Linked DNA regions of Tamandua tetradactyla. The protein of the gene in region 4 purifies or fractionates together with the protein of the main gene of each other region. This does not show direct contact. Links are inferred from orthologs where the notes say so. Each region holds a gene or a part of one and is shown on either strand. Other genes may lie near its edges. The genes, in order: MRGBP, EPC2, VPS72 and H2AZ1.

Evidence for each region.
Region 1: the proteins of H2AZ1 (region 4) and MRGBP purify together in Homo sapiens (affinity purification with mass spectrometry; 4 studies listed by BioGRID and IntAct, with this or other methods). This does not show direct contact. The link is inferred for Tamandua tetradactyla from reciprocal best matches to the Homo sapiens genes H2AZ1 and MRGBP.
Region 2: the proteins of H2AZ1 (region 4) and EPC2 purify together in Homo sapiens (affinity purification with mass spectrometry; 3 studies listed by BioGRID and IntAct, with this or other methods). This does not show direct contact. The link is inferred for Tamandua tetradactyla from reciprocal best matches to the Homo sapiens genes H2AZ1 and EPC2.
Region 3: the proteins of H2AZ1 (region 4) and VPS72 purify together in Homo sapiens (affinity purification with mass spectrometry; 4 studies listed by BioGRID and IntAct, with this or other methods). This does not show direct contact. The link is inferred for Tamandua tetradactyla from reciprocal best matches to the Homo sapiens genes H2AZ1 and VPS72.

Annotation. Positions count from the first base shown.
Region 1 is NC_135327.1:60,345,007-60,352,832, reverse strand, and holds the start of MRGBP (MRG/MORF4L-binding protein), read right to left. Parts: upstream 3,013-7,826; 5' UTR 2,985-3,012; coding exon 2,837-2,984; intron 2,716-2,836; coding exon 2,594-2,715; intron 374-2,593; coding exon 292-373; intron 1-291.
Region 2 is NC_135329.1:118,546,685-118,554,615, reverse strand, and holds the start of EPC2 (enhancer of polycomb homolog 2), read right to left. Parts: upstream 3,006-7,931; 5' UTR 2,932-3,005; coding exon 2,779-2,931; intron 1-2,778. UniProt on the Homo sapiens protein: May play a role in transcription or DNA repair.
Region 3 is NC_135330.1:4,370,510-4,378,452, reverse strand, and holds the start of VPS72 (vacuolar protein sorting-associated protein 72 homolog), read right to left. Parts: upstream 3,014-7,943; 5' UTR 2,920-3,013; coding exon 2,803-2,919; intron 1-2,802. Other genes in the region: PIP5K1A (phosphatidylinositol 4-phosphate 5-kinase type-1 alpha), read left to right, coding at 7,439-7,520. UniProt on the Homo sapiens protein: Deposition-and-exchange histone chaperone specific for H2AZ1, specifically chaperones H2AZ1 and deposits it into nucleosomes.
Region 4 is NC_135350.1:24,382,313-24,389,269, reverse strand, and holds H2AZ1 (histone H2A.Z), read right to left. Parts: upstream 2,741-6,957; 5' UTR 2,559-2,740; coding exon 2,556-2,558; exon of another isoform or gene 2,352-2,555; intron 2,138-2,351; coding exon 2,060-2,137; intron 1,772-2,059; coding exon 1,658-1,771; intron 1,328-1,657; coding exon 1,198-1,327; intron 942-1,197; coding exon 880-941; 3' UTR 502-879; downstream 1-501. UniProt on the Homo sapiens protein: Variant histone H2A which replaces conventional H2A in a subset of nucleosomes. Nucleosomes wrap and compact DNA into chromatin, limiting DNA accessibility to the cellular machineries which require DNA as a template.

The DNA.
Region 1 (7,826 bases), on a different chromosome or scaffold from region 4:
TCGATTTAGAAAAAGAAATAAAATGATAATAGAGAAAAAAAAGACTATACATACCATACCCCTTACCCCTCGCTTTCATTTACCACTAGCATTTCAAACTGTATTTTAACATTTGCTCCCCAAGAGGGATCTGGAGTTTTTTTTTTTTTTTTTTACATGGGCAGGCATCAGGCACCGGGGATCAAACCCGGGTCCTCTGGCATGGCAGGCAAGCATTCTTGCCTGCTGAGCCACCGTGGCCCACCCGCACCTGCCTTTTCTAATCCCAGACCCGAGCTCGCCGACTCTTACCTTCTCGGACCTCTTGAATGATCTCTTCAGGAAGGACGAAGTTCCTCTCTGGATTTGGGAATGGAAGAATCTCAGACTCATGCTGATGTCAAATGCGATGTTTTATTTTATTAAAAAACAAAGAAAAAATGTGATTTCAGCCAATGATTAAAAACTCAGGAGCAGTGATGATGCTCAATCATCTTAAATAAATGTGGTGCAAGGCTGAGGAAGGGATGAGGTGCAGGGGTGAGGGAGGAGAGTGGGTTGAGGTGCAGGGGTGGGTGTGGGATACAGAGGTGAAGGGTGTAGGGGTGAGGGAAGAGGGAGGGCTGGGGCGCAGGACTGAGGGAAGAGGGTGGGTTGGGGCACAAGGGTGAGGGATAATGGTGGCTGGGGTGTAGGGGTAAGGGAGGAGGGTGGGCTGAGGCACAGGGGTGAGGGGCACAGGGGTAAGGGAGGAGGACGGCCTGGGGTACAGAGCTGAGGGCCCTGTTCTTCCCACCATCACAGCCTACGATGGCCTGGGCTGGGCAGACAGACCCACAGAAGGCAAGAATGACATGAAAGCCTCAGCAGTCCTCAGAGGGGAGACTCGGGTCTGTGACAACTGAGAGGGCAGGCTGAAGCCCACCCGCCCACAAACACCCCCAGGGTGGCTCAGGGGAGGGCATGGGCCCAGCCCACATGAGATGAGCCTCAGCACGAGTGTATATTCTGAGAGCACAAGCTGGGCAAAACCTGCAGCACACACAGGGCAGTTGAGGGTCCAGGCCGGAGGCCCTCCAGCTTCCGCCCATGCCCACCGGGAACCAGGGTGGACAACCGAGCAAGTGGGTCAGGGTCAGCCGGGGACACCTACTGGGCTCTAGTCACAAGTACCAGGATGGCTGGATAGAAGGGAAAGCATCCCTGACTGGTGGGGAGGTGGAGGCAGGATACAGGGTCTCCACTCAGCAGTCCCCCTGAAATCTGTCTCCCTTTGGTGGTGGTGGGGGCTGGCCAGGGCTCCGCGTTTTATATGATCTTGAGTGATTCTGGAATCAGTCATATTGGGGTGCCATGGCCTAAAAAAGTGATGACCCAAAGTCTTGCCCAGCCCCTGAATGTAATAAGCTGCCCCAGGAACAGGAAGTAGCCATGGAGCGGGCATTGACAGCTTTCTGAGTGCCCCAGAGACTAGACTTCTCAGTGTGAGGCCCCACCAAGCCAGAAGTCTGTCCCTCATACTGGTGGGCCTGGCAGCCTCAGATCCATGTCACTGTGGCAGGAGCATCCCAACGACGGGGAGTCAGTGCCGCACCTACATCTCTGCACCCTGGCCTCCAGCCTAATACAGGGCTGGAGTTGGGGCTCGGTTGGATCCAGTTGGCCTGGACAAATGCCCCCCTGCCACGAGTGCCTCACTATGACAGGGGCTGGTGCAGAGGGTGCCCACTGTCCTGACTCACAGTGGGGAGAGGGGACACCTCCGCCAGAGGGCAGAACCAGACCTCAGGGCTAGGTCGGGTCCTGTACCCACTCCAGACCCCAGCAGACCATGCACCTGGCCGACCGGCCCATCACTTGGGGTCTGGCTCTGCCCAGGCTCAGAATAGCCTCATCATGGACTGCTCACAGGGACAGCAGCACAGGTCTCAGGGTGCTTGCCACGGGCCCCCTGCCTCCCTGTGTGACTGTGCTCAGCTCCCATGTACAGCTAGGGAAGGCCGGGAAAGGGGGTACAACAGACCCCAGGCAGAAGCCTTGAAGATGTCCCAGTCAGGAGGCGGCTATGGCCCCAGGTTCTGCCTGGAGGGCGCAGGTCTTCCTACCCCTCCTGGCCCCCATCCCCCTTGCACCCCCAGGTCGCTGGCCACATGCTGTTCTTCATTAGCATCCTGACCCACTAATCCTCCCCATCCCTTCCAGCAGGCAACTCTGTGAGGGCAGGAACCCTGCCCACCTGGTTCCCCAGAAGCTCCTGTGACCACCTTTACCAGATGGGACCCTGCCTCCTTCTTGCCCACGTCTTCCCTGGGACCTCCCGTGGCTGAGTAGGACCCAAACACCCGGGAATGTGCTGGCAGGCTCCCCTGATGCTGCTGGGACGCCCTCCCCCAGGCCTCAGGCTCAGCCCCAGCTCTCAGACAAGCAATCCCCCATTTCCCAGCCACGAGGGCTTGGCTTTTTCACAAGCGCAGGCCCCCTCCCTGGCGCTACGCTGTGCAGCGGCCCCGTCCCTCCCAGGCGGAAGCTATATCCCCGGCAGGGCCGCGGGACCCGGCGGGGCAGAAAAGATGGGACTGCCGGCCTCCCCCGGGGCGGGCCCCTGGGGCCTCACCAGCGCCTGCATGTCATACATGGTGCTCAGGTGGTCCCAGATGACCTTGGAAGGGACCTGCCGCCCGATGTTCTGGCTGAACTTGTCCCGGATGCAGATCATGTGGAAGTGCCGGTTCACACCTGCGAGGAGGGGGCGGTGGGCAAAGTCGGCGGGGAGGGTTGGCCCCATGCCCCGCCCCCACCCCGACGGTTACGGAACCGCCCCGCCCCCACGCGAGTGCGCGGCCTCAGGCGCGCTCACCGACGGGCTTGTGGCCCAGCATGGCGTGGAAAAGGCACACTTCCACCTCGGGACTCCACACCACCGTCTCCTCCGCGGGGCTCGTTGCCGCCTCCCCCGGCCCCTTGTCGCCCGCGGCGCCGCCGCCGCCCACCTCCGCTTCCCCCATGGCCGCGGCTGGCCACCAGCCCCGCGCGAGGAGGCGCGGCCACGGGCCCGCGCAGGCGCAGGCGCAGGCGCGCGCTCGGGCAGGCGCGCGCTGGGGATCGCGCTCCAGCGCAGGCGCAGTTAATGGCCCGGGCTCCGGCACGCGTTCATGGCGCCCCCTGGCGGCCGCATCGCGCCGCGTAGTGCTGTCCAGCGGCTGTGGATGGGCCACCGTTTCCAGCCGCCCTGCTCTGGCCCTAGGGTAGTGGGGGTTCCTCGGGATAGAACGGAAGAAAATATTTGCAAGGTCTAGTATCCACACTATATAAAGAACTTTTTTTTGTTTTGTTTTGTTTTTTCTTTAAAATTTTTTTATTGTGAATAATAACATAAAAAAGCAATAAATTTCAAAGCACAACACAATTACTTGTAGAACAAATTTCAGAATTTGATGTGGATTACAATTCCACAATTTTAGGCTTTTACTTCTAGCTGCTCCGAGACACTGGAAACTAAGAGAAATATCAGTGTAATGATTCAGCAATCGTGCTCATTTGTTAAATCCTATTAACTGTTACAACTCCACCTTCTCCTTTGATCTTTATAGCTTTCTCTTAAACAATGAAGGTGAGCATTTAGATGCAAAAAGTATAGAATACGGGAGACTGAACTGACTGGGAAGTGTTTGATTGGAAACTCATGCTCACTGTAAGTTCATTGAGGGCAGGAAGTATGTCTTATTTTTATATTCCCCGCACCTAGCATACATCTTGAGACATCACAGGAATTCAAGAAATGTTACTTGAAGAAGGCATTATCAGCAATTCTGAGTCGTCAGTTTGATGCAGTTGCTAAAAAGATCAGTGCCACGTTAATACTGAATAGAAATGCACTGTCCAGATCCAGAAAATTGTCTCATGCTATTTAGAAGACACTTAGGACACAGTGTGGGACTCCATACTGGGCATCTTATTTTAAAAGGGACGTGGCCAACAGAAGAGGATGGCCACAGACCACCCAGTCAGAGGTCTGGAAACTATCTCAGAACAGCTGAAGGAGCTGGGAAGGCTCAGCCCCGAGAGCAGGTGGAGTGGAGAATTTGATAGCTGACCTCACATACCTGAAATACTACAAAGTGAAGAGTTGGCTTACTCTCCTGCTTATATAAAGAACTTTTGAAGCTAAAAATATAAAGACAAATAACCCAATTAAAGAATGGGCAAAGGACTTGAAGAGACATTTCTCTAAAGATCTACCAATGGCCAAAAAAGCATGAAAAGACGCTGAATATCATTAGCCATTAGGGAAAAGCAAAGCAGAACCACCATGAGATACAACCTGCACCCATCAGGATGGCTACAGTAAAAAAGAGACAATCACAAGTGTTGGTGAGGATGCGGAGAAGTAGAAACTCTCGTGCATTGCTAGTAAGAAGGTAAAATGGTGCAGCTGCTGTGGAAAATAGGCCCTTTCTCAGAATGTTGAACACAGAGTTGCCACATGACCCAGCAAGTCCCCTGAAAGCAAATGTCCACTCAAAAAATCACAGCAGCATAATTCACAATAGCTGAGAGGAACAAACCACCCACGTGGACATTGACAAAATGGATAATCAGAATGTGTTCTATCTATCCAACAAAAAATTATTCAGCCATGTAAAGAAAAGAAGTTCTGATACATGACATTACATTGATAGATTTCGAAGATTGCATACTGAAAGAAGCAAAAGACACCATCACAAAAGGTTACATTTTGTATGATTCCATTTATCTCAAATTTACAGAATAGGAGAATCCATAGGACAGAAGGCAGATTAGAGGTTACCTCGGCGGGAGGGGCTGGGGAGCTTGGGAGAAATGGGAAGTGACTGCTAATGAGCACGGAGTTTCTTTTCAGGTGATTAAAATGTTCTAAAGTTGCTTGTGGTGTTAAATGCACGTATCTATGACAATATTAAAAATATTTGAAGTGTGCACTTTGAACAGGTGAATTGTATGATATGTGAATTGTATCTTAATAAAACTGTTAAGGAAAAAAAAGGACAATTCCAGTGGGGAGGGGAGGTTCCAACAGGCTTTACTTGTCGCTGGGCTAGCACCATCCTGCTGGGCCGGAGCTGGACCAAGGGGCCCACGACCACCTGTGCACCGGAGGGAAGGGGCGCCCGGACCCTGCTGCACTCGACAGCTGCCCCCCGCCGGTGTTGACCGATCAACCCCGGGCAACGCAGTCTGGAACTCTGGGTGGGAGTCAACCGCGAGTCCGGAAAAGAAACCACGGCGGGGCGGGGTCTGGATGAGGTCGAAGCTTGGAGCTTGGACCGGTGGGGACCCGCCGGGCGATCTGCGAGCAGGGCCGGGGGCGGGGCCTGGTGCACTGGGGGGGAGGCCAGGCCCAGTGGGGTCTGGGTGGGCAGGGGGCGGGGTATGGGCGGGGACGGGGGGGGTGCGTTGGGAGTGGGGCGGGGCCTGGTTGAACTGGGGGCCTGAAAGTGGGGGATGAGTTTGCATGGGGTCGGAGGCAAGGATGGAGGATGCGGATGGGTACGGGGGGTGGGGGGAGTGAACTGGAGAAGGGTCGGGGCGAGGGTGAACCCGGGGCGGACCTGGGCAGGGCGGTCGGGGGCGGGGCCTCCGGCCGGTCTTCAAGCCTGAGGAAGCCCTAGCGGCCCCGCCCTCTCCCCGCCCCCTCTCCTCGCCCCGCCCCGCCCCTCCTGCCCTGGACCTCTTGGCAGCTGTCGCCCCTCCCGCGCCAAGCTGACCCGCCTCCGGCCTCCGCTCCTGCTCTCAGCCCCGCCTTCCAACTGAGGCCGCCCCCCAGGAGCTCCGTGCCCCGTGTGCTGCTGGCCTCGCCGCCTCTGGCCTCGCTTCTCGGGGCGCTCCGTGGCTCTCGGTTTCTGCCGCAGAGGGTTCTTGGCGAGCCGGCTCGGCCCCACTCCACTGCCCCCGCGTCTTCCCAGAGGTCCTGGGCTCACTCTCACAGGCCCACAGGAAGCAGCCCCCCGCCCTGGGGCTCTCCTGACTTCTGCCTTTGGTTTTGTGGGGCACGGGGCGCATCGGGCCAGCTCAGCAGCTTGGGGGCCACAGGGAGATGTGGGAAAATGCGCCTGGTTTTTAAATTTCCATAAGAACCTACCTCCCAGACTCCAGGCCTCAGTTTCCCTCTGAAATGGGCCCAGCAACAGTGCATTCTCCTCTGGTGTGTGGATGGGGGTTTGGCTGCCCGGGGCTAGAGTGGGTGGTGCTGAGTACTGCCTCTTGGCTGAGGCCGCCTCTGGGTCAGCCCCACCTGCCCAGTAAGCCCAGTGACCGCCTAAGCCTCAGCGTCCCCATCTGCTGGCAATCTGCAATGAGGCAGATGTGGCCCAGAGAGGGGGCATAAGTGGCCCAGGGCATTCAGCTGTCATGGGGGAGCCCTGGTGTGGCTGGAGGTGGTGACTGGGCTGGGCCTGGGCTCCTTGCCTCTGCCCTGACCCCCTGGGTCAGCCTCCCGGGTGTTCCCCTCCACCTCCCTCCACTCCTGTGCTTTACCATGGCTCCATGGCGGACAGATGATGCGTCGGTGTGGTTCAAAATCCACTACACACGAAAGGGGCTCCCATGCCTTCCCCAGCTGCCTCCTCAACCCAGTCTCTCTCTTGCCTTCCATTCTGGGGGTTCTCAAATGAAAGAAAGGTTTAATTGTTATGTTTATATCTCATTTCAAAGTTTCTTTTTTATACAAAGCACATTTTTCTTGACCCACAATCTTTTATTCTTTCTCATCCTTTCTCCCAGGCTGCCTCTCTGAGGCTCCCCCTTCGGCATGAGCAGCCCCCTCCCCCATCCCCCACCCCTGTCCTTAAGGTCACCTTCCCAGGCCCTCACCCCCCACCCCCTGTTCCCCATCCTCCTGCTTCCGCTCTGCCCCGTGTGGCCCTGCGAGGTTTGGACATCATCTTATAATGTGAGGATAAGTGACTGGTGACAAGAAAAGCAACAAGGAGGGGGTTCCTCCAGGCACAAGGAGGTGTGGGAGCGCCCGAGAGCAGAGCGTGCTGAGGGGTCGGGGCTCCCAGCCCCCATCTGGCCCACGGCCCCCCGTGGCTGCGCTGATGTTGGAGAGCCGGGGCCATGGCAGCTCTGGGTGTTGGGACATCGAGGGCAGCTCCCGGGCTCCTTCCCAGGCTGAGGGGCCAGAGTCTCTGACCCTAACCATGACCATCCCTGCCCTGTCATGGGCAAGCATGGTGGCCAGGGGAGGGGTTGGTCTCCCTGTCCTACTGTGGCCCTTCTGTTCCATTCCAAGTGGACATTTCTCTTCTCAAAGAAATCAGAGGTTGGGCTGCGTGGGGTCGCAGGAGCAGGGGCCCAGGCCAGCTGCTGCGGCCCTCAGTGGATGTATCAAATCTTCAGGGGTGTCCCCATCTGCTATGGGGACCCAAAGTGGCAGTTTGGCCCAGAAACCTGCTGGCGGTTCTGTTCCTTGGAGCCGTTCCCAGCATTTTGAAGACACTCAGTTCCTTGCATAGGGCAGGCATCTGCGTTGATGGCCTGCAGGACTGTCCCACCTCCAGGGGCTCTGGAGTCACCTGTGGGACCCCCACAGCACCCCTGGTAGGACCTCCACCTTGCCCACCACTCCACCTGCCCAGGGCAAGTGGAAAGCTTTGGGGCTCTGGACTCACCTGCACTCATTCCAGACAGGCGGTGGGAATTATAGGCTCCTTTTTTGGATTTCCAGACTTAACAAATCAAAATACAAAAAGTGCATTTAAACTGGAGTTTCAACAGGTGACAAATAATGTTGTATATCCCTTGCAATGTTTGAAACAAAGTTTTACTCCAAAATTGTTTGCTATTTACCTGGAATTCAAGTTTATCTG
Region 2 (7,931 bases), on a different chromosome or scaffold from region 4:
CCCATGTAAAAAAAATAATAAAAAAAAATAATAAATTTACATAATCTAACTTAGACCAAGTGCCATAAGCATCAATTCAGAAACCAAATTATAGGAAGATGCCAACTGGCAAACCTTCGAAAATAAGGAAAGGGAAGAAAAGCAGTAAAAGATACCTGCATGTCTGAAAGAAAAAATGAACTAACAGAATACCACTACCAATGCCAAAGAACACCTAGATTACCTTCCTGAGGCATATCAGAAAGTAACTCAAAAAGCAAGTCAATGACTATATAAACAAAGATGATAGTTCAATGGCTGCACAGAGGAGAAGACTTAATTTTATTGGGGAGTAGGGTGGAGGAACAGAAGCCATCCACGAAGTCAAAGGGCAGGATTTTGCAAAGTCAAGCAAGATAGTGGTCACACTGTGGAGAAATTAGTAAATAGGAAAAACTTTAGTAAAGTTTATTAGTAAATACATAAGCCAAGATTTAAAAAAAAAAAAAAACAGTTCCATGTGATTTTTAAGAATACTTATAAAAGTAACTGGATCACACAGATGCTGAAAGTTCAGTTGAACATACAATTCAAGTGAAACACAAAAATTTGTGAAATTCAAAATACTTTACTGCTGCTGCTTAGAACTGTTTATCAAGGTATAGCATTTTGTTTTAAAGTGAACAAATCTCCTTAATAAAGAAGTTCTGTAAATAAGACTAAGAAATGAATTGACATTAAAAACTAACATGTAATTTAAAAAACTAACACTCCAATTAAACATTCTGGGAAGCAAAAGACTTTTATACTATAAATCTTAATGTCTGGCTTTGTTTGGAAGTTTAAGAACTTCCACTAGTGACTTTAAAGAGGCAGAGAGGACAAAACAAAGAGTCATAGGTCCTGGGTTTCAATTCTATCAGAATTTGGATTTCTTCTTCCTCAAAAACTGAGGCATGCAGCAGCAAACTGAAGTAAACTGAACAATTCTGAAGAGATCCAACTTTGGCAGTCATGCCCTAGACTGCAATTCACAAGTTTTACTGAAAAAGATAATAGCACAGAATCGTAACAGGTGCTAAGAACTTATTTATGACCAACATAAAAAAAAAATAATTGAACTGCAGATTTTCCTTCTAAATTCAGATAAAATACCAAGATACACCGAAAAAATAAAGACCAGGTATATTGTTAATTATTGTTTGCAAAAAGTAATCTTCCAGGAGTTAACTGTTCATTCTAGAACAGGTTTCTTGACTCAAATTCTTCCCAACTAATTTCAAGAAACTAAAGAAAGTACTGATACTAAACTCATAACCCACCTTTCTTTTTGGTTCAAAATATATTAATAGAAATTTAGCTTTGTGAAATCCAAACCTGTCTTTTTTAAAACGTTATTAATGAAAACTCAGTTATGTGAACCATCCTGCATGGAAAACTGAGCTAAGCTGGAAACAAATTTAATTTAAAAAAAAAATTCACATAGCATTCAGCTCAAAGCCTTAGGCAGAAATGTTGGGATTTTTATTTTATATATTTAAACAATACTGAGTGTTCACCCTTATACTACAGCTTTATTCATTTTTATTGAAAAGGTTAAGTCTCTCAAGTAATCAAACACTAAAGAGAAATGCGATTAAATCACAGCAGAAAGTAGTAATAACAGGGTAACATAATGAGGTCAGAACTCCAGCAGCCAATCAAAGACATAAAAGCATTTCCTGCAATATTAATAGTCAAAAGAGAAAACCAATCACGGAGACCTTGAGCCTTCTTTTGACAGTCACAGAATCAAGAGAACCAATCCACACACACCCGGGGTTGACAATAAGGCGGGACCGTAAGTTCATTGAAGAAATTCTTGAGGATGCAGCTACTATGAACTTCGCACGCAAGTAACACCACTCGAGAGTCGTAAACACTCTCGTCAAGCCAGATGAAATTCATCCATATGCAAAATTCAACCCATAAGGGTAGGACAAAGCAGCATTTCTGCATTTCATCAAACACACATCTGTCAATTTAGAAGTACTAGGTCCTCAACTTCTGAAAAACTACCCTCCGCTGACAATTCCGAGACCGAACACCGGCACAGCGCAGCGCGGGCGGCCGCTCGGAAACGTCTTAGTTCATTTCTAACGCTGCGGCCGTCCCGGCGAGGTTAACAGAGCCGCGGCCAAGGTACGAGCCCGTCGCGCCGCTCCAACGCTACATCCCGCTCCGGAGTCGTTGCCCCCGCCCTCCCAGCCGCAATGCTGCACCACCTCATCCCGCTGCACCAGCTCGGGCAGAGGGGAAGAGGAGTGAGGATTACCTTGCTGAGAGGAAAATATTTGTTTTAAAAGCGCCTTACGTTCCATACGTCATTTTAAAAAGAACCCAATGCAAAACCAAATTTAAAAATGGGAAGTGAACACATATTTCTGAACCAAAGGATCCCTCACCCATTAACCCCGCGCCAGAGGCAGGGGAAAGAAAGGTAAACAGAGGCCTACGCCAAGTGCGGCCGGCGCATCCCCTGCGCCATTCCCGGTCGCCGCTTACGACAAGGCCCCCTTACGACAGCGTAAGCGGCGCTGCGAGCTAATCACAACACTGGGACGCAACAACATGGCGGCCGCGGGCGGGCGCTGCGCCGGCAGAGAGAGTTTACGCTACTCCGCCGGCGTAGGATCCCATGCGTTGGAGCGGCAGCGGCGCCCTCCAGCGAGCGTAAAGCGCTCTGTGAATGGCGAGGCCCGACTGACAAAGGGGAGGGGGGAGGAGAGAAGGGGGGGTAATAAACACTCGAGTCCCTACCGATTCCTCCTCCTTCTCCATCCCGGTGGGCATCTGGGGCACAGCCCGGTTGATGGAGACGCAGTCGTTGAGATCAGGCATATCCTTGCCGCGGTAGATGGGCAGCGGTTTGGCGGCGTCCAGCGCCCGCGCTCGGAAGGAGAGTTTACTCATTGTCTCCCCGCCTTACAGGAACAGCCCGGGCGGCGGCGTCGGGGCGGGCGGGGAGGGGGGGAGGACTCCCGCCTCCTCCTCCACCTCCTTCCTCAGTGCAGAGCGGCCGGCCCGCTCCTCCTCCTCCTCCTCACTGCCCCCGGCCACAGCATGGGCGCCCACCCCGCCCGAAAACAGCCCCCCGCCGCCCGCGGCCGCTTCCACACACTAGATCCGTCGCTCGCCCGCCCGATCCGCTCCCTGCGCCATGGCCAACATGGCGGACATTACCACAGCGGCGGCGAGCGATCCCGGCAGCCCGCGCGAGAGCGCGCCCCCGTCGCAGGAACGCGCCTCGTCCTCTCCCTCCCTTCCTCCCTCCTTCCTCTCCCTTCCCCTCCCTCGCCTGCCCACCCACTCTCTCCGCGGTGCTGCCGGCCCGCGGGAGCTTGCTCAGTCTCGGGCCGCTCAGGGGAGAGGGGGCGGCGGCGACCCTCGGCTCGCTAGCCTGCGCTCTCGCGGTGTGGCAGGTGCCAGGTGCGCAAGTTATCCCGCCCGGCAGAGCGTGCGCCTCTTCCTCCGCGGCCCGGTCACCCGGCTCTCTGGACGCCCCGAAGGAAGGCTCCGGCAAAATCCGGCGGTGCCGAGCAGTGTGTGTGTGTGTGTGTGCGCGCGCGCGCGTGTGTGTGTGTGTGTGTGTGTGTGAGAGCGGGAATGGAACATGCTGATCAGGGCTACGACAGCTACCACCCGAAGTTGTGCGTATAAAGCGCTTATTTCCAAAACGCCCGAGCGCAGGCTAATTCGCATCCTCCAAGTCGCACGTCCCCTGGAAGTGTGAAAAGACCTTTCAATCTGCCCAATCGGAGGGGAGCAGACCTCCCCTCCACACACCCCCCACCACCCCCAAACGCTCGTCCTGTCCTAGTCCTCTTCGTCGCATACTCTCTTTAATACCTGACCGAAAGAGCTCTCTAAGGTAAGGCATCCTTGCTCATCCTCGCCTTCACTGGGAGTATGGATGCTAATGGCAGCAGTGAGAGTTAGTGGTTTCAGGCTGCTGGGTGCAACAAGTGTACCGGTCTTCCAAACTTCAGTATATTTTTAGGATGGTAGATATATCTCTGATTTCGGGCCGGGTTGAGGCGGAGATTTTTTTTTAACGTTAAACTTAGAAAATTTGACCAAGGCAGTAGGCATTTTTGAAGTGGTAGATCTGTGTAAAATATTGGGTGCTGTGAAAGACGCAAAGAAGTTTGATATTAAATTCCTTCCCACGATGATCTTTCACTTTAACGGACAGTTAGAAAGATGAACAACATTAAAAGAAAGAGTTGAAGAACCGGGCAGCTGGAAAGATAAATGACAGCAAAAGATGTAAATACTTGAAAACACCATACCAGAGGTGACATGAGGCAGTAGCACATGATTACTAAACGAGTTGTACGAGCAATAATTGCGAGTTCAGAGCAGGGAGACATTACTTTTAGCCTGAGCTGATCAGAGAAAGGTCTAAGGAGAAAGGAAAATCAAGGTGAGTCTTAAATAAATAGGAGCTCTTGCTGAAGTAATCTGGTTTAGTTTCTTGGTTTGACTTAAGCATTACAGATTTCTCACAAAATCCCTAGGAAGAGGGTAATGCATCTTAACATTTCGTAATACATGATAAATATTCTGTCTAACTCAAAGAAAGGTAGATGGTTTGCTTAAATCCAGCAGTGAAAGAAAAAAAAAGATGCCTACAGTCATTTCCATTTGATGCCAAAACTATATCTTTTCCTCTATTACCTTCTTTTCCCCTCCTTTTTTCTTTCTCTTCCTCCTTCTCTTCCCCCTTTCACGCCCTCTTCTCTCCTCAAGGCAGAATAGTAGATATGGAGTTCATGGTTATGTCTAAACAGTCTAACCAGTTTGGCCCAGCAAGACTCTGGGGCTTAGCTGTTTTCCATCCATTTTGTTGTTGGAAACAATGGAGTTGCTGTGACTCATTTCTTCTTGTAAGCTTTACCTTCCTTAAGCTTATGCACATGTCCCTTACTGGACTGCTGCACTCTGAAGGAGTTCCAGTCCTCTGCAAGGAAGACATTGTTGGGAGAGGGTCAGCACTGGGTTCAAGCCTGAAAGAGAGAAAAGTTAAGGTGATAGTTGAAGAAATAAATGAGTCATCCAGGACTTCTATTTAAATTTCCAGCACTTCTCAGAAAGTATAGTTTTCTTCTGTTCCCTATATTTATTGTTACTCCTTCTCAAGAAAGAAAATATTGAGTTTCTGTAGTATCCTAGATATTATAATGGATAGATGTATTCGCTCAAGTAATTGAATTCCACTTAATTCTCATAAGTCTGTGAAGAAGTGTAATTTTACCAGCAAGAAAGCTGAGATCCAGACTAGATTCAAATCCAAGTCTAGCTTTACTCCAAAACTCATGTGTTCTTAATAGTCCTACACAGCTAGCCAAGCTCTTCTGTTTATTGACCATTCAGTATTCCAAAGTTGTTGATCCAGATTACTGAGCCCTTCCTACCAATGGGTTATAAATTGTATAATCAAGAACCTAAAGATGTAATAGCCCCAGGAAGGGCAAGAACACTGTCTGCTCTGTCAATCACATCTGAACATAGAGCAGGCATCTAACGTACGTTGTTGACTGATATTCCACCAGGAAATTCAGTGAAACTGACCCCATTCCACCCCATCTCAGACAGAGTTCAGGTACCTTACTGGGCTGTCACCTGACCTAACCACTGCTGCCAATATTTGCTCTTAGGACCTACCCTGCTCTCCAGCTTCCTACCTTTGGGTATAGGAATTTTTGAACCAATTAAGGAAATTCAAATAAACTTTTTTTAAATCTGAAATTCAATAATAGGGACAGGTTTTTGCTAAGGTAGTTGTTGCTTTACTTTTGTTCTTTTGCTTTGACCATGTAATCGGTTTCTTCCCCAAAGCTCCATTTCCTTTTTGCCTCGTAGGCAATGATTATAGAGCGGGAATAAAACAGTTTGAGTCAAATAACACAATACGCTTTTCAAGTGAGACACAGCCTGTGTTTTCTTGGCTTCCAGTTCAGTGCTCAAACCAGAATGTACCTCTGTTTCACATTTGGAAAGTAGCTTTTATTTGTATATAAATATTATTTCTCATAAAATAAAGTTTATTTCTAATCTATTTGTTGAATACCCATATAGTTCTTAGTGCTGCAAACAGAAAATATCTTTTTCAACTTCTAAAGTAGACCTTATAAAATGTCTTTATCGAAGTCTATTTAAAATGGTTGTGCAGTTTAATAGCCTATTTTAATTTCAGTGTACAATGCACTGAGTACAGACCTTCACATAGTCTACTTCAGATATGCTCTAGACCAATTCCAAACGGCATGCATTTAGCCCAGCAAGTGTAATCTATATAAACACCCCAAAATTAGAACCAGTTATAAACCATATCAAAAATAAAACCATTGCCTAAATGTGGTCTAAAATTAGAATAAATGTCAAGTAACTATAAGAATTGAGATTATATTCCACTTTCTATTTCCCAGTACTGCTATCAGGGCAGGCAACTTCCAAATAATGAACAAATTACTTTTTTAAAAGAACCTTAAAACTAGTAAACACAGTTACCATTCAACTATCTCAGAGTTTCTTAAATGTCATGTCTTTTCTAATTGGCTCCCTGTTTTAGCAAACCCAATTGAAAGTTAATTGGGTTGGTATGTGAACTGCCTTCCCCACTCCTCCCCCTCATTCCCAAGAAGGAGCCCAAAACCAATAAACAAATAAAGCTGTGTTGTTTTCCATATGTAGTCTGAATGTGGAGTTTGCGTTCTTTGCAATCAATTGAAATCACTCCCCTGGTTCTAGTGCCCTTTACCGAGGCAGCTCTGAATCTTTGTGTTGTGGGGAAAGACAGTGCACTCAGAGGTGGCACGCCAAACATGTACTTCCACCTCTATATTCACCACAGTGGGAATACCAGATGGTAAACAGAAATTTGTAGCTGTGGTTCAGTCTCTTTGCAGCATCTCTCCTCTCAGACCTGGTAGGAATCACAGGGTGCCACCTTGTGTATAAGCTGACGATTTACTTCCCAATTCCACTACAAAAATAATCAGCCCAAAGCTTTGTATTTTATTAACCAAGAAAAAATGAGAAGTGATCAACGGAAACAGATTTGAAAACACGCAGTTCCAAAGGGTCCACAATACTCAGTTTTGAATCACACCGAGAGCCCACCCCACTCGCTGCTGCACCCCCGACAGGAAAACACTGGCGTTGGTCCACACATGGAATAGATTGATGTGGCTCACTCAAGCTTTTGGATGGGGATACCAGAAATAAGTAAAGCTCTTGTGACAGAGCTGATGAATCTGACTGGGACCACTATCTGTGTCCAAACAGCAAGCAAGCTACATAGATTTAATTTCAGGACTTTGGATTTCTGAGAGGCCTAATTTCACAGAAGTGATGAATATAATCCTACTTACTTTAGTAAAATGCATGACAGTTTTAAAAAATAACTGAGTTTGAAACAGAGAAATACAGTTCACTGGAGCAAGGTCATGGGAGGTAAAATAGGATCCTTTGCAATCCAGCTACCTTGCCCTTGAGAAATTCCACACTTGGAGGAAACCAGCTCTCAATTCAGCACAGTTGCCATTCAGCTGAAGCCATTATTACAGCCATGGAACTGACTGGACCTTTTATATTATTTTTCAAAAGGGAGTTGGAGGGGGAAATCCTGGGGTTTGGGGGGCTACAAGTATACATTTGCTATTGGTTTGGGTATCCTGTCACATCCGTGCCCCTCAGATTCCTTCCCTGGTCTCCGCTCACACATCCTTTTCTCCTCAAGCATCTCTGGAAGGTAACTTAGAAGGTGATCTCTATATGCCTGTGGAGGCAGCTTAGTCTTCCTGACTTGCTGGCACCTCTCAGACAACTGAAGCAGGCACAGAGCCCTATGCTAGCTGGGGCCCCAGCTGAGAGGCGTGACAGCCACGCCTTATTGACCTTATCCTTGC
Region 3 (7,943 bases), on a different chromosome or scaffold from region 4:
TAAAGAGGAAATCATGGGTAGACAGAACAGCAGAAACAAAGGTGCCAAAGCAGGAATGAATATAGAATGTTTATGGAATAAGGATTTCAACCTAAGCAAAGCAGAGTGTTTCTGGTAAGAAGTCTTCCTGGCTGATTGCCTTTGGCTCCATAGTCTCCTTCAACATTAACTGATTACCTTCCAGATATGAAAGATTTGAAAAGGAGACTGCATTCAGTCTATGGCAAGGCTTAGTAGTCAGTCTAATAAACCTATGATTTTTAACCTGCAGGCCAGTGATTCTCAGTTCCCTCCATCCCCTTACTTGTCCCAACACTGATGATGAGTAAATTAGTATTGATTTAGTAAAGTTACTGAGAGAAGTATGTCTCATTCCTTAGATGTGTTGGGGCAGTAAAAGAGTTGGGTACTCCTACAATGGGGAACAGAGAGTCACTGAAGATTTGGAGGAGGGGAAAACTGTGTATAAAAGGTGTTTCAGAAAGTCTGGAGGTGGTTAGATGGGCTGGAGCAGCGAGCACGAGGTACAGCCTAGACTTAGGCGATGCCGTTTAGGGCTAAAATAGCAGCCACAATGCAAAAGAAGAAAAAGCACTTTGGGGAGGAAGAATCTACTGGGCTGGGTAGCACCTCAAACATGTGGCTCTCTTTTCAATCTATGATGCAGACTAATGGGCTAACCTTGGTACACTTGCAGCCAAAACAAGCAAACAAGATGCTTTACACTCCAAGCCAGTCAAAATTCCATCTTGCACTGATGACTATCATTTCTTCCCACGTGATGTTTGTGAAAGACAGCCTGGGAACATATTAATCCCCTGAGTTCTAATCTGGTATTAAGTCATATCACTACAGGGTAGTAGTTCAACTGCACATTAGCTTAATGCTCAATGAAATGCTTTCACTAAATTATGGGTTTACCACCATTTCTTTGGCTTTTATTTGAGGGTCCTTAATAGTCATGATTAGACAAGGGAATTTTTTTACATCACTTACAAAACCCTGTTACTTTATACATCTTATAGAAGGATGCTATGATAAATTCCTTTTAAGATTTAATACTGAATAAGTTTGTCACTCTTGACAAACTTACATGCTTCTTTCTTACAAAAATAAATAAATAAATTCAGGATTTGGCTGCCAGGAAACTCACAGCTAAATTTACTATCAATTGCTATTACCATTTTAGCATAGGCTCCTGGTACAATTACTTCTCATCTGTCTCTATTTTTACTGTTCCTACTTTTTGTGTATAGTGTAAGCCTCCTTAAACTATTTTTGGAAGTACAACTGGTACATATTAAATAACTCGTAAAATGACAAAAATAGGAAAATGGGGAGAGGGGACTTGGCCTTGTAGGAGGGATGAGACATTTCTATTTTAACCTAGTTGGTTAGGGTTATGTAAGTAACGATTCCCAGTCAGTCATCAAGTACTGTGGGTTATAGTTCTTTAATTTCTTTGTATCATCTAGTCCATGTTTCCCTACTTTCTCTGCCACAAATTCAGCTCAGGCCACCATCACCTCTATCTTTCCTGGATTCTACCTAATCTAGTTTCCCTGCCTCTAGTTTTGCCACCTTTGAACCATTCTCCTCCTTAAAGACTGATCTGTTTAAAACAGAAATTTGATCATGCTATTCTGATGAATCTCCTCAGTCCTCTGAAGAGTAAAACTCCTGAACACGGTTCTCAAGGCCCTACACCATCTAGCCCAGCCTCCTCCCTCCAGCCTCACCAATCTTCATTCTCCTTCATGCTCTGGAGGATGACTTGCAGATTCCAGGCCAGACCAGGATCTCAGCGCCTTTACATATTCTACTCCATGCCTTCTGGAGACTGTTTCCTTTGCCTTATTCCCAGCCCTACTTCTCTTCATCTAGCCAAAGCTTACTTTTCAAACTATTCTCAGCTTAAACATCACACCCCCGGGGATCTCAATCCCAAACAACTCTGGCTTCCATGATACCATAGCCCTCTATGCCTGTCTCTTATTTTAGTGCTTATCATACAATTTTTAGAATACGTTAGCTGTTAACCTGACTAGTTCCCCCACTGGGATTTGGAATATGTAAGAATAGAGCGGTGTTTTTAATACTTTCTGTTCCCCTAGAGCTTATCATAATGCTTTGTATGCTCTGGGTGCTCAGCACATAATGAACAGATAGATTCGGTCAATAAAATTTAACGAATGCCAGTCCAGTCCAGACACCGGACTAGTCCCACTGGTCTTTTACTGTTGAACACGGGCCATCACGGAGTTTACAATCTAATAGGAAAGCATTAACATGTAAGCAAACCAAATTTAATTACAAATTGAAACATGTTCTATGAAGGAAACAAATGGAGATACTTTTACAACAGTTAAGGAAAGGTTATTTAAGGAGATATTGAGACTTTTAAACTGAAAAAGGAGTGGGCTAAGCCCCTTTACTTTTGCGGAAGGGTCCTTTCTACATCTCAGGTGAATAACCAAGCAGTTAACCAAGGAATATATATCGAGCGACCAGATGTGCCTTGCGTGTGCTGGACGTCAGAAATGGGGTGAGACATGCAACTAGAGAAGTAGACGCTTGGTTTCTGCCACATGTTAGGGTCTCCCACCGAGAGCCTCTCCATTCCTCAGCCCACCAACCCCGTCCAGGACTCTCCCTTTTGGACTACCCCCCCACCCCCTTCTTGAGTATCAGCTTCCAGGGCTTCTCTCTGTTACCCGCTCCCCACTTCTTTGTCCGGGGTTTGTCCCTTCAGGATTCCACTTTTCGCTTCCTCCCCTCCCTCTTCCTGGGCCCGGCTCTTGCCTCTGTGAAACCCCCATAAGTCGTCTGGTAGAACTCATCTTCCTCCTCTGCCTCCAGGAGCCCAGAAAGCCGGTTCCCCGCTGTCTTCCGGGGTGCTCGGCCCCCAGCCAAACTCATACTACCCACCGAGGCTGCGCCCCCACCAGCATCCCGTCACCTAGCTCGACTCGGGACTCGGCGCTCGACACCACTACCTGCGGATGGCCGTGGGCGGCAGAAGCGGAACGTGTACAGTCAGAAGCAGTAGAGCATCGAGGAGCTCTTAGCCCCGCCCCCTAGGCCGAGCTTTACTCTTCAGCCCCGCCCACCCCGGGCGGAAACCACGCCCCCTGCTCTAGTCCGCCAACTCGAGTGACGGAAAAATTCCACTTGGAGACGCTGACGCCCCACCTACTACCGTAAGTCCTGAATTTGGAAATCAACCAATTTTCTTTTAGAAGAGGTCCGTTTCCCTTTGCTCCTATTCGTTTTCCACTCTGCTACCAGTAGGAACTTTTCTAAAAACCCAGACTGGACTCTGTCACTCTTTTGCTCAGAAACCTTTTAATAACTCCCCACCCTCATGAAATAAGGTGCTAACTCGAGCCAGAGCAGTAACCGTGGTCAAGGGCACAGCGTTAGAGCCGGACGGACCTGAGTTCGAATTTTATCTAAGTTCATCTAGTTCTGTGACCTTTGGCAAGTTGCTTTACCTCTCTGCCTTTGTTTTCTCATCTTACAGATGAGACATACTTGTAATACCTACCTGTGGAGTCTGTGCTGTTATGAAGATTAAGAGATAATTCTTGCAAATGTCTTAGCACAGTGTTTAGTAAGCATGTAGTAGATATTTGTAGGTCAAAACTACCTTCATAATTTAGCTTTCCCCTGCCTTTCTAGACTCACCTCCTGCCACATCACTACATTCATCCTATTCCAGCATCACTCCCCTAAGACCCAATTCTCTGGTATGCCCCCATGTGCTTCCTTCGCCTTTGAATCCCTTGCCTTTCTCGTCTAAATACTTATTCTGAATGCAGTGAAGTCTTCCCTCACACTCATCCCTGACTTTTGAGGTACAGATCCTGTAACCAAGGGGATCATGCCTTCTAGATTTTCTGGAGTATCTTCTAATTTCATATCATCTGTGGTATCGTCAAGACTCTGTGTCTACTTTTTTTCTTCCCCCCTATTATTTATTTTTATCCATATGTTCTACTCGTCTGTTGACAAAGTAGATAAAAGGAGCATCAGACACAAGATTTTCACAATCACACAGTCACATTGTGAAAGCTATATCATTATATAGTCATCATCAAGAAACACAGCTACTGGAACACAGCTGTACATTTTCAGGCAGTTCCCTCCAGCCTCTCCACTACATCTTGACTAAAAGGTGATATCTACTTAATGCGTAAGAATAACGTCCAGGATAACCTCTCGACTCTGTTTGGAATCTCTCAGCCATTGACACTTTGTCCCATTTCACTCTTCCCTGTTTTGGTCGAGAAGGTTTTCTCAATCCCTTGATGCTGAGTCTCAGCTCATTCTAGGGTTTTTCTCAATCCCTTGATGCTGAGTCTTAGTTCATTCTAGGATTTCTGTTCCACGTTGCCAGGAAGGTCCACACCCCTGGGAGTCATGTCCCATGTAGACAGGGGTCCGTGTCTACTTTTGTTCCCACTTTTTTATTCTGAAAATATGGTTGTCAAACCATAGCACTTATACATACTCTATGGTAACACCTCTACACATTATCGTAATGATTTATGTGTCTGTCTCCCTCATTATTCGTGATCTTTTTGAGGGCAGGGATTTTGTATATTAGGAACTCTCTACAGTGCCTGGGATATAGTTGGGGCTAAATAATGTTCCTTGAATGAATTAATAAATGACAAGTTGAATGGTTATGGCATCCATCTTCTTATTCTTGCTTCTCATTTGCTCTTGCCAGCCTCTTGCCCCTTCATTCTGACCTTGGGAACTGTTCTAAGTCACTAAAGGAAGTTTTTCTAAAGTCCTGTGGGCGTATGTGTGCACATGCATGTGCAGGTGCCCGTCTGTATGTTCATGTCTCCCTGAACCCTTCTTTGAGGTCACCAGAATGCCCCCTCCCTTCCCAAAGTATGTATTGGTGAACTCCCTTCTCCACTTCCTTGGGAGCACCAAGCCAACTTGTCCTGCACTGCCCCTGCTTCCACACCCTGCCACGTCACTCCAGTTCTGCTATGTCAGGAATGTTACTGGGGATGAATGGCTCCATGACTCAGAGAGTACCCCAGGAATGGAGTGGGAGTGAGCACAGAGACAAGGTTTAGGGGGGAAAGATGGGTGATACCTGCTTCTTAAACACCCCTAGCCCCATTTCTTGAATTTTGCCTTCATTCATTCATATATTCAGAGCACAGATATTGGACAATTACTCTCTGCCAAACACCATTCTAGATGCTTGAGAAGTGAAAATGGGTAAGATGTAATCTTTACCCTGAAGTGGTCACAGTCTTGTGAGGGAGACAAAAACAATACAAGGTGGTAAGTATAATAGTAAACATTTTCTGGTACATAAAGGAGAAACAAAGACTCCTAAGGAGCTACAAAAGAGGGATTTCTTCTTCCAAGAGGGATGAAATAGAATTTACTTTTTTTTTTTTAAAATATGGAACGCTTCACGAATTTGCATGTCATCCTTGCGCAGGGGCCATACTAATCTTCTCTGTATCGTTCTAATTTTAGTATATGTGCTGCCGAAGCGAGCACGAATTCACTCTTTTATCAAAGTGATAGATTAGATTCCAGGGAGAAAAGCCCTCTGTTTGACCTACTGCCTCTGTCAGTTAGGGCTTTATTGGTCTTTTACCAATTGTTAATCAGAAACAGCTTTACATCTACATCAAATGATTGCTAAAGAAGTAATTCAGGAAATGCTAACAATCTCATGCTTTAGATGGAAACAAGGATAATTTACTCAACAGGTATTTATTGAACACCTACCACGAATCAAATCCTTTGCTAGGCAGTGTGCCCCCACCCTGCTATTCCCTATGGTGTTTCTTTGGGGGTGGGTATTGCTATAGCCAATCATAATATAATTCAGTACTTCACAATTTCACTACTGTAGAATTAGGGGTGGCAGTCTAATCATTTGAAGCTTTTCGACCCAAAGAAGGAAAAATAATCCAGCAGGTGGCAGCAAGAAAACAATTATCTTGGATCTTGGTGGGAGGAGGGGTAGAAGGCCGATGTAAGTATGTTGGGGATATTTTATGGACTTTTAGGTTCTAGGTTCCCTTTCAACAACTCAGAAGACATCAGGATGGAGGATAACTAGGCCATCTTGAGGGCTGTAAAACCTGGATATTTTCCATACCTCTTCATTTCTTCATTCTACAAATAACTTTTGAGCCCCAACAATGTAGTCACAGCGAGGAATTGGAGGTATGAGTGACCCAAACACAGTCCCTGCTCTCTAGCAGTTTACAATCTGTTCAGAGACTGTACCGAACCTCGAGGGCACTTTGTTAAAACTGAGTAGACTTAGTGCGAAGACTAGACCATGAGAATGGGGGAATTTCTCTATGTCTAAAGTCCTTTGGAACTCAGAGACTCGAGAGTTGGAGACTAAAGCCTTGAATCGCGGGAAGATTGTACCATGGTCTAACTGCTTTCTGTGGCTTTTTTCCCCCAAGTGTCCATACTTCATTTATTACATATTTACATATTTACTGAACGCTGTCACTGTGGCCAGCATCGTGTTGGAAGCAAACCAAACGTAGATGTGCACAGAACGCCATTCGGAACTAAGATAAGCACGCACCTTAAACTAAATAGTAAACAAGGCGGTAACGCCGGAAAAGAGTCAAGATGGATCCTTGGTGACACGTATTGTTTTACGATATGCAACTGTTTAACGTCTCTGACTCGGCACCAGCGCTGCTCTCCAGAGCTCTTCGAGAAGTGGTCCCCCACACTCTTGCCGAAGTTCGGAGAACGCAGTCCAGAGCCGGCAAAGAAGGTTCCTAGACCGACTCGCCAAGCCTCCGTAAGAGAGGTGAGCCGACCGAGGCGCGCCTGGCTTCCACCCGAGGATTCGTTAGGGCACGAGGAACCCGCCTCACGTGATCGGTAACAGCCTCGCGATTGGCTCGGCTCCCCTCAGGGCCGCCCACCCCTCCGCACCGAGAGGGCTGGAACGCTGAGATCAAACAGGCGCATGCGCAGTGCTCGGATTTCCCTTGACACCGGGAGCCGAGCGGTAGGGTTGGGCGATTAACCCGCTGTGGCTGAGGAAGAGGGGGAGGGGGCGGTCTCTCCGCCGGATTTATCCCCCCGCCTCTTATCCCTTTGGGATTGGTGGGCCTGAACGTGGGTCGCGGCAGCTGGCTTGAGCCTAGTCCCTTGTGAAGGTGGAAAGCAGCCTCCTTCGGAAACCGGCTAAAGTTGCGGAGGGGGGGGCTCTCCCCCTGTGCCGGCGGAATGGTGCGGCCCTGAGCCGGTCCGGGAGCTGGCCCGACGTGTTTGAGGGAGGCCCCGGAGGGGCGGGGAGGTGGCCCGCAGGACGCGGGTTCTGTGAAGAGACCGGGGCAAGATTCGACTCCGAGAAGAGGAAGAGCTGGGTTGAAAGTGAAGGAGGGCGTTGAGGGGGGAGGGGGCTGCCAAGATGGCGACGGCCGCCTCTGGGCCGTCGACGGTCGGATTTTTATCTGCGGATTCCGGAGTGCCTCCCTGCACTTCGTCCTCAGGTAAGCAGGGCGTGGGAAGGGGGCTGGTGACGGCTGTGTGATGGGACAAGAACAAGATCGGGGGGGGCACCTGTAGCTGGACTGTCCCAGGGGTTGCCGGCAGGAGACCAGAGGACTGAGCTTTCAAATAGCGGGGATTTCTGAGTGGATCGGGTAGTCTGAAGAAAGGATGGGTTTGATTGAGAAAAGAGAAGCTGTTGAAAACGTTCGAGGAGACGGGGTTGAGGACTTGAAGGAGGAGGGTCAGAAAGGGATGGAATGGAAGGTGGGGATAGGAGGGAAACCGGAGGGAGTGGAGAAACTAAGGTAAATGGAGGCCCGATAAGTAGAGAGGAATTAGGATGAGAAGCAGGTACAATCGAAGTTGATTGCGAGGTTAGTTGGATAAACAATGTGGAAGACAAGCCATAGAATTTAAAAGGT
Region 4 (6,957 bases):
GCTGAATGAACCATAGCCCACTTTCAAAGAAATTCTAGTTTTCTTGTATAAAAAGGGGTAACGTATCTCCTCAAATGTTATTATAGACCTTATTAAAAAGTGTCTAGCACTCAAAAAGGACACTGTTATTATCTTTGAAGTCTAAACGTCAAGTTAATTCTGTGGAAACTGCTGTATTCAAGATTTCCCTACTTCCCTCCCCAGCCCACCAAAGTAAATAGTGCACTGGTGTAATAGTGTCACATAGACCACTCGATGTACAGATGGCCAAACCTTAATCTAAAAATCACAGTATCATATCCTACTGCAGGAACTCCTGCCAGTTTAAAAACCTTACAAAGCTGATTACATAACCTTAAAACAATTTTAGTTGAACCATCTGCTTTGAACTACAGAATTAATGTAATTTGAAGGGAAGAAAATGTGCTTAGTTATGTCGTTGGATGAGTTGCCTATTCAAAATATAAGTTCCCATTACAATCAAGCAAATTTAAAACACAATTAGGTTGGGATATGACCTTTATTGAGCTTATCCACCAGAGTGGAAATAATGTCTGTACAAAACCAAATGTTTGTTACTATAACTTCTGCATCACAATTAAAATCCAAACAGTTTTTTAAAAACAGTCAACTCAATCAAAACCCACTACTTCAGAATCAATAGCTTCTTTGAAGCCACAGTAACACTTAAATATGGTTAAGACTCAAATGCAGAAATTTGGTTGGTTGGAAAGCGAATTAAACTTCCAACTTGCTCAAATAGAATTACAAAAAGGCAAAATTGTGTTTTTCACAGAGATACAGTCCACTGGAATCACCAACACTGGACAGCTGTTAGAGTATTTAGAGTCCTGAGATAATAAGGAATCCAGGCATCCTTTAGACAGTCTTCTGTTGTCCTTTCTTCCCAATCAGAGATTTGTGGATATGTGGAATGACACCTAGGAGAGTGACAGGGATTAATTTTACTTTAATCTACATATTTTAAAAAGTCACACAGTACTTAAAATGAAGGCACTGTACAGTTCAACTTAAAATGTCTTTAAAACGTGACACTCAAATAAAAATGCATTTTAAGTTACATATCATAAATCAAATTTCACGATATACGACCACACTGCATCAATAAAAATGTGTCCTCTTAAACTAGAAGAGAATTTTTTTTCTCTAAAGCATTTTAAAGTTTTAGTTACATACCACCCCCAGCAATTGTAGCCTTGATCAGAGAGTCCAATTCTTCATCTCCACGAATAGCAAGTTGCAAATGACGAGGGGTAATACGCTTTACCTTTAAATCTTTCGATGCGTTTCCTGCCAGTTCAAGTACCTAGAAGGCAGAATCTAATCAATCTCCTTCGGCCAAGACCCAGAAAGCAAAATTAAACCTTCGTGAATGTAGATCTACCCATTGTCATCGTTCCCCGACTACCTGAATGGCAAGATAAAACAAAAACTACAGAGGGGGCAACCAATTATTTCCAAGAGCTGCAAACTCAAGCCCAACAGGATCCCTTATTGAACACCAGCTCCCTCTAGCGTTCTGAGAGGCTTCTCGCTGGGTTTACGGCCTGGGAGTTTTCTTGCATCACTTTCCTCCTTTCCTTTCCTCCCCCCCTAACCAAAACCTTTCCCAGATTACAGGTATACACCCATTTACCTCTGCGGTGAGGTACTCCAGGATGGCTGCGCTGTATACAGCGGCAGTCGCGCCCACACGCCCATGGCTGGTCGTCCTAGATTTCAGATGTCGATGAATACGGCCCACCGGAAACTTAATCGTAAGCACACACAAACATAAATGCACAAAGATGTAAGTGTCAAAGACGGAAAAATTATACAAGCACCAAAGCAATGATTACGGGCTACGCTGGTGCAGCAACACGCCCCAGGATCGACACGCGTGATCGGCTCCCCCCCCCCCATATTTATCATATCGGCAACCCAAGTCGCGACACCACATCTCTCCTGAACAGACAAAACACCACAGAGCGGTGACAAACGAGAAACGAGGTGCAAGGAAAAAGGTCACGATTCTAACACTGCACGAACATCCACTGACCTGCAAGCCGGCTCTCTGCGAGCGGGAAACCGCCTTTGTCTTGGCCTTTCCGGAGTCCTTCCCAGCCTTACCGCCAGCCTGCGGCGCGCACACGCCCGAAAGCGGAGGAGGAACGCAGAATATAGGATTACCAGGGCGACGCGCCCCTCCCCCACGGCAACGCAACCCGGGCGCGAGCGCGGCCCCGCTGGGGTCTCCGGCCCGCCGCGCCGCGGGGGCGACCCCGCCCGCCGGCCCCCCGCCGCGCGCTCTTCGCGGCCGCGCGCCTCCGCCCGCCCGCCCCCAGTGGCCCTGCGCGCGCGACCTAACCGTCGCCGCCCGCCACGAGATCCGAGGCTGCTCCGCTTGCTGCCGACAAAACACCTCCCCCAGATCTTCTAAATCCTGTCTCCGCGCGTTCCCAACAGCCGCCACTTCACCCCATCCCCGTGTATAACGGATCTTACTCCCACTGGCAAAAACCCGCGGAGTCGTCAAGCTCTTCTGCTAAGTTTACCATTTCGAATTCTGCTGTAGCTCAAACAAACAAGGCAGAGAAAGGGCTAGTCAAACCCCCAGCGAAGCCCAGCCGCCTACTCCTTCGTCGCACCGCGATTCAAACTGCGCTGTCTCCCGCCTTCCCCGCTCCCTTTATACTGCAGAATGTTCCCTCATCCGGGAACTCGGATTGCTCATCGCACCAATGGCTGCCACCCGCCCTCGGGACGCGTCCTTGAGGTCTCAGCCAATGATAAGGCCAAGAAAAGGACGGAGGGGCGGGTGCTTCGCAACTCGAGCCGCGATTGGGGCGTGTGAAGCGAGAGGTGGGGGAGGGCGGAGGGACGGCAACTGGGGAGAAGAAGGACACAGCGGCGGGAGGGAAGAAACAGAGCGAGCTACGCTGCAGGAGCTCAGGGACCAGCGGGTCGCGGTCACGTGTCGGGAGGAGGGGCTGAGGGATTCAGGGGAGAGGCAGGCAGTACCACCCCCTTCGTAAACCCCCAGCAGAGCTCTGGAGACCACGTGAAAGCTCCTCCAGGCCTTGTGTACTCTATTGCTCCGGACGGTGCACGCCAGCATAGCGCAGCTTTCTTTCGGGAACCCGGGCGCCCTCTTCTTCGCCCCCTTCGCATCCCAGGCTGCTACTCCTGTCAGACAGGTAGCGTAAACGCATCCTGTAGAAGAAGTCCCGTGGTCTGTCCCGCTCCGCGAGGCATAAACTTCCAGTTATTTCTCCTAGGCGAGACCCGCAGCTCCCTCTGCGTTTTCAGCTGTATTCCACCCGCTCTTTCCTCACCACTTTTGAATCCACCCCCGCTTAGTTCCGTGGGTACAAACAGTTGAACAACCGCACTTCACTGGACTCAAAACCTTTTTTGTCCACCTCACAGGAGGCTTGGGGGTGAGGCGGTATTCTTTAATCAAATCAGAAACTTTAACATTTTTCTGGAGACTACGCATGAATGAATTGTACCCATAACTTGTTATTTAAAGTTGATTTAGTGAAACCTTAAAACTGTTAAGTGTCAACTTTTTTTACACAACATTTTGCTACAAATATTCAGTAAATGCCAGTAGGGGAACTCTTCATGATTCACAGTCAGTTACAGATGGTCCATGTAATCAGTTGCAAATGGTGGGCTTAAAAAATAGTGCGGTACACAAAGTACTATCATAATGCCAGCTACTTAATCTTCCAGCTAATAAATTGGTAACACCTGTGTACATCTCCAGCAGCTTGTGAACAAGTGATAGCAACTCACATTTACAATGTTTAATAGTTTATTATTTTTTTGACAAAATTGGATAGTCAGATTCAACGTATATACTCTAAAGTACTTTGGATTGACTTTCAATTTGAAAGAGTTTATAAGATTAGAGAAACTCCCTATTTCTGGGAGATAAACCCTAGAAAATGGTTTCCCAACGATTTTGAGAAGGTCCTTTTTTATTATTTCTCCCCCTGGGGACCCAGGGGTTCTTATGATGTTATTAATAGCAAGAGTCAGTCAGTTCCCCCACTTAATTGATGTAATAACAGTCAAAAGCTAAGAAACCTGAAGTAGTTAGTTTGAGCTCAATTGAAGCGTCAGGAAATCCGAGGCAACATTAATACCTTATCCAGTTTAGAGATTACTCTATGTGATCTTTGCCGTCAGAGACCCAGCTAAAGAAATTTGCTCTTGCTTCACTAAATAGTGGTTATTTAGTTATTGAGTGATTGAGCTCAAGAGCTGGAAGACTTAAAGTTTGCTCTACCTCCTCCTCACAGTATGATCTTAGTTACTAACTGTTGAAGCCTCTGCCAAGTGGCTATGGTAGCACCTAGTTTCATGTGATTATTGAAATATGGAAAAAGGTTTGCAAGGTACACAGTAGCATGTGTTTGGCACACAGTAACTGGCACTCAGTAAACGATAACTATTATCTTCTACATTGGCTGGATGAAATAATCTTTAAAGTATCTTTGATTCCTAAATATTTTTTCCTGTGTAATAAATGGTATTCCTTGGATGTAGAATCAGCAAAATTTGAAACCTATTCAAGATAAACTCAACCAGATCATCTAAAATCTGAAATTGGTTTAGTACACTCAACAGTTTTCCTCTTCCTGAAGTGAATGGAACAATAATGATTTCTTCCCTTTTCATAGCAGTTATGTGATGGTTTCCTACCCCTTTTCCTGTCCTGGAGAAAACCATGATGCAAAAATATTAATCCTCTTATCTCTCTAGTACTTGTGTTCATGCTAATACATATGTAATGTAGTCATAGTTACATAATTTTTAATGCCATATCCAATAAGTTACTTAATAAATGCTAATAGTGAAAAAAATTAATAATATGAATTATATGGTCTTAATATTATTGCCTTTTTCCTTAATAGCTTTTTTTCTACTTCAGCCAGACACTCTACAACTAATTACTATCTCCTCTCAAACACTAGCAACTAGCAACTACTGTTGGTTTTGACTTTTTATGTAGAGAATTCGAGAGATCATCCCATACTTGGAAATTTCTGATTTCTCAAACACATCTTTCTTTAAACACCTTTTTTTGGGCGATAAATATGAAGAGACTTTCCAGCTATTTCAAAGATGTTAGCCTAGATAGATAATGGCAGAATACTTCTGAGGAAATCCAAATTAGAATTTTGGTTCTTTGTACTTAGGGCATCGTGGAAAGAATGTACCTTCAAAGACTGACTAGTCGTCAATAACTGAGTTCCAGCATGGTATAATACAAAATATTTACCCAGAATAAAAGAACTTGGGTTGAGTCAGACTCAGCCACTCATTATTATTAAATAGGTATACATAGCAGCAGATAAGCCAACCTCATAAAATTGTGAAAGGGTTTCACAGAGTGTGAAGAATATATGGGGTGGTATATTAACTTTTGTGACACAAAGGCTGTAGTTCTCCCCAAATTCTACACATAAATATGATTATGTTAAGAGAAGCCCATGCTGTTTAGTTCAGTGTTGATGAAGCCAAGGTCATGAGTTTGAATTCCATATTGCCCAACTTTGTACTTTCCAGGATCACAGATTACATACATTCAATTCACGGGAAGCCTTTTAAGCCTTTTAAGGAAGACTCAGAGGAGACAGGTCCCATTCCTGCTTCGGCTGATGAGCCTCTCCTGTAGAGTTCATCCAGACCATCCATCAGAGTCATCAGTTTCACAGCCTGCCCTGTGAAACTCTGCGTTCCTGCGGTCACGTGAGACATTTTTATAAATTTTATATTTGCGAGTGTTCCCTGTTGATTCTGTTGCTCTAGAGAACCCTAACTAATACATCTTGGTACCAGGAGTGGTTCTTAAGAAACAGAATCTTAAAAATGGGTTTTTATGAATGGTTTTCTACTCTGACTGGACCCAGAGACACTAAGGACTCTGATTCTCGTAATCAGAATGACACTCCCAATCCATGGACTGAGTTGGCAAAGGAGATAGTCAAAATATCATCATTCAATTCTCCTAATGCTTCGCTTATACGAAGCCAGACTCGGGGATAATGTTTTTGACACCTTTACAGAGTTTTGTAGAAGTAAGAGTTATAGAGATGTTGGTTGGTTGTTGTTAGATACACTGCCTACATTAAGGGATGAAAGGGATGGGCTTAAGGCTTCAAACAAGAAGCTTAAGTGCCGTCTGAAAGATGTAGACGTTTCTATGAGTATCCTGAAGGAAAATCTTATTTCCTGTACCTGTAGACTTGAGATCTCTGAAAATCAGATTCAGAGTCTTATTGTTAGAGTAGCAACTTTACAATGTAAACTGAAATCTCAGTCTTTGCATGGTGTCTGCCGTTAAAGTGAGGGCATTGATTGGAAAGGAGTGGGACCCTGAAAAATGGGATGGTGACATATGGATTGATAATGATGTCGGGGGTGAGGTTGAAGCCCTAGATCATGCTGAGTCTTCTCTAGATAACTCTGTAATAGTTTTCCCTGAGGACATCACTGCCCCACCTCCAGCCTGCCTTGAGGAATTGGCCACCCAACCTCCTCCTGAAGGGATTAGCCCTGGAGTGATTAATTCTGTTTCACCAGATGAAACTGCAAATGAAGGCCCTGAAGCAAATGGCTTGGAAGATATTTCTAATTCTTTTCCTGACCCACTCCCACCACCCCTCATTTCTTCCAGACCTATAACTAGACTAAAGTCCCAACAGGCCCCTAAAGGTGAGGTACAAAGTATCATACATGAGGAGGTACGTTATATTCCAAAAGAACTGTGTGAGTTTTCCAATTTATATAGACAGAAATCAGGGGAATATGTGTGGCAATGGATTCTAAGAGTGTGGGATAATGGTGGGAGGAATATAAGGCTGGATCAGGCTGAATTTATTGATATGGGCCCACTAAGCAGAGATTCTGCATTCAGTGTTATAGCTTGAGCAGTTAGAAAAG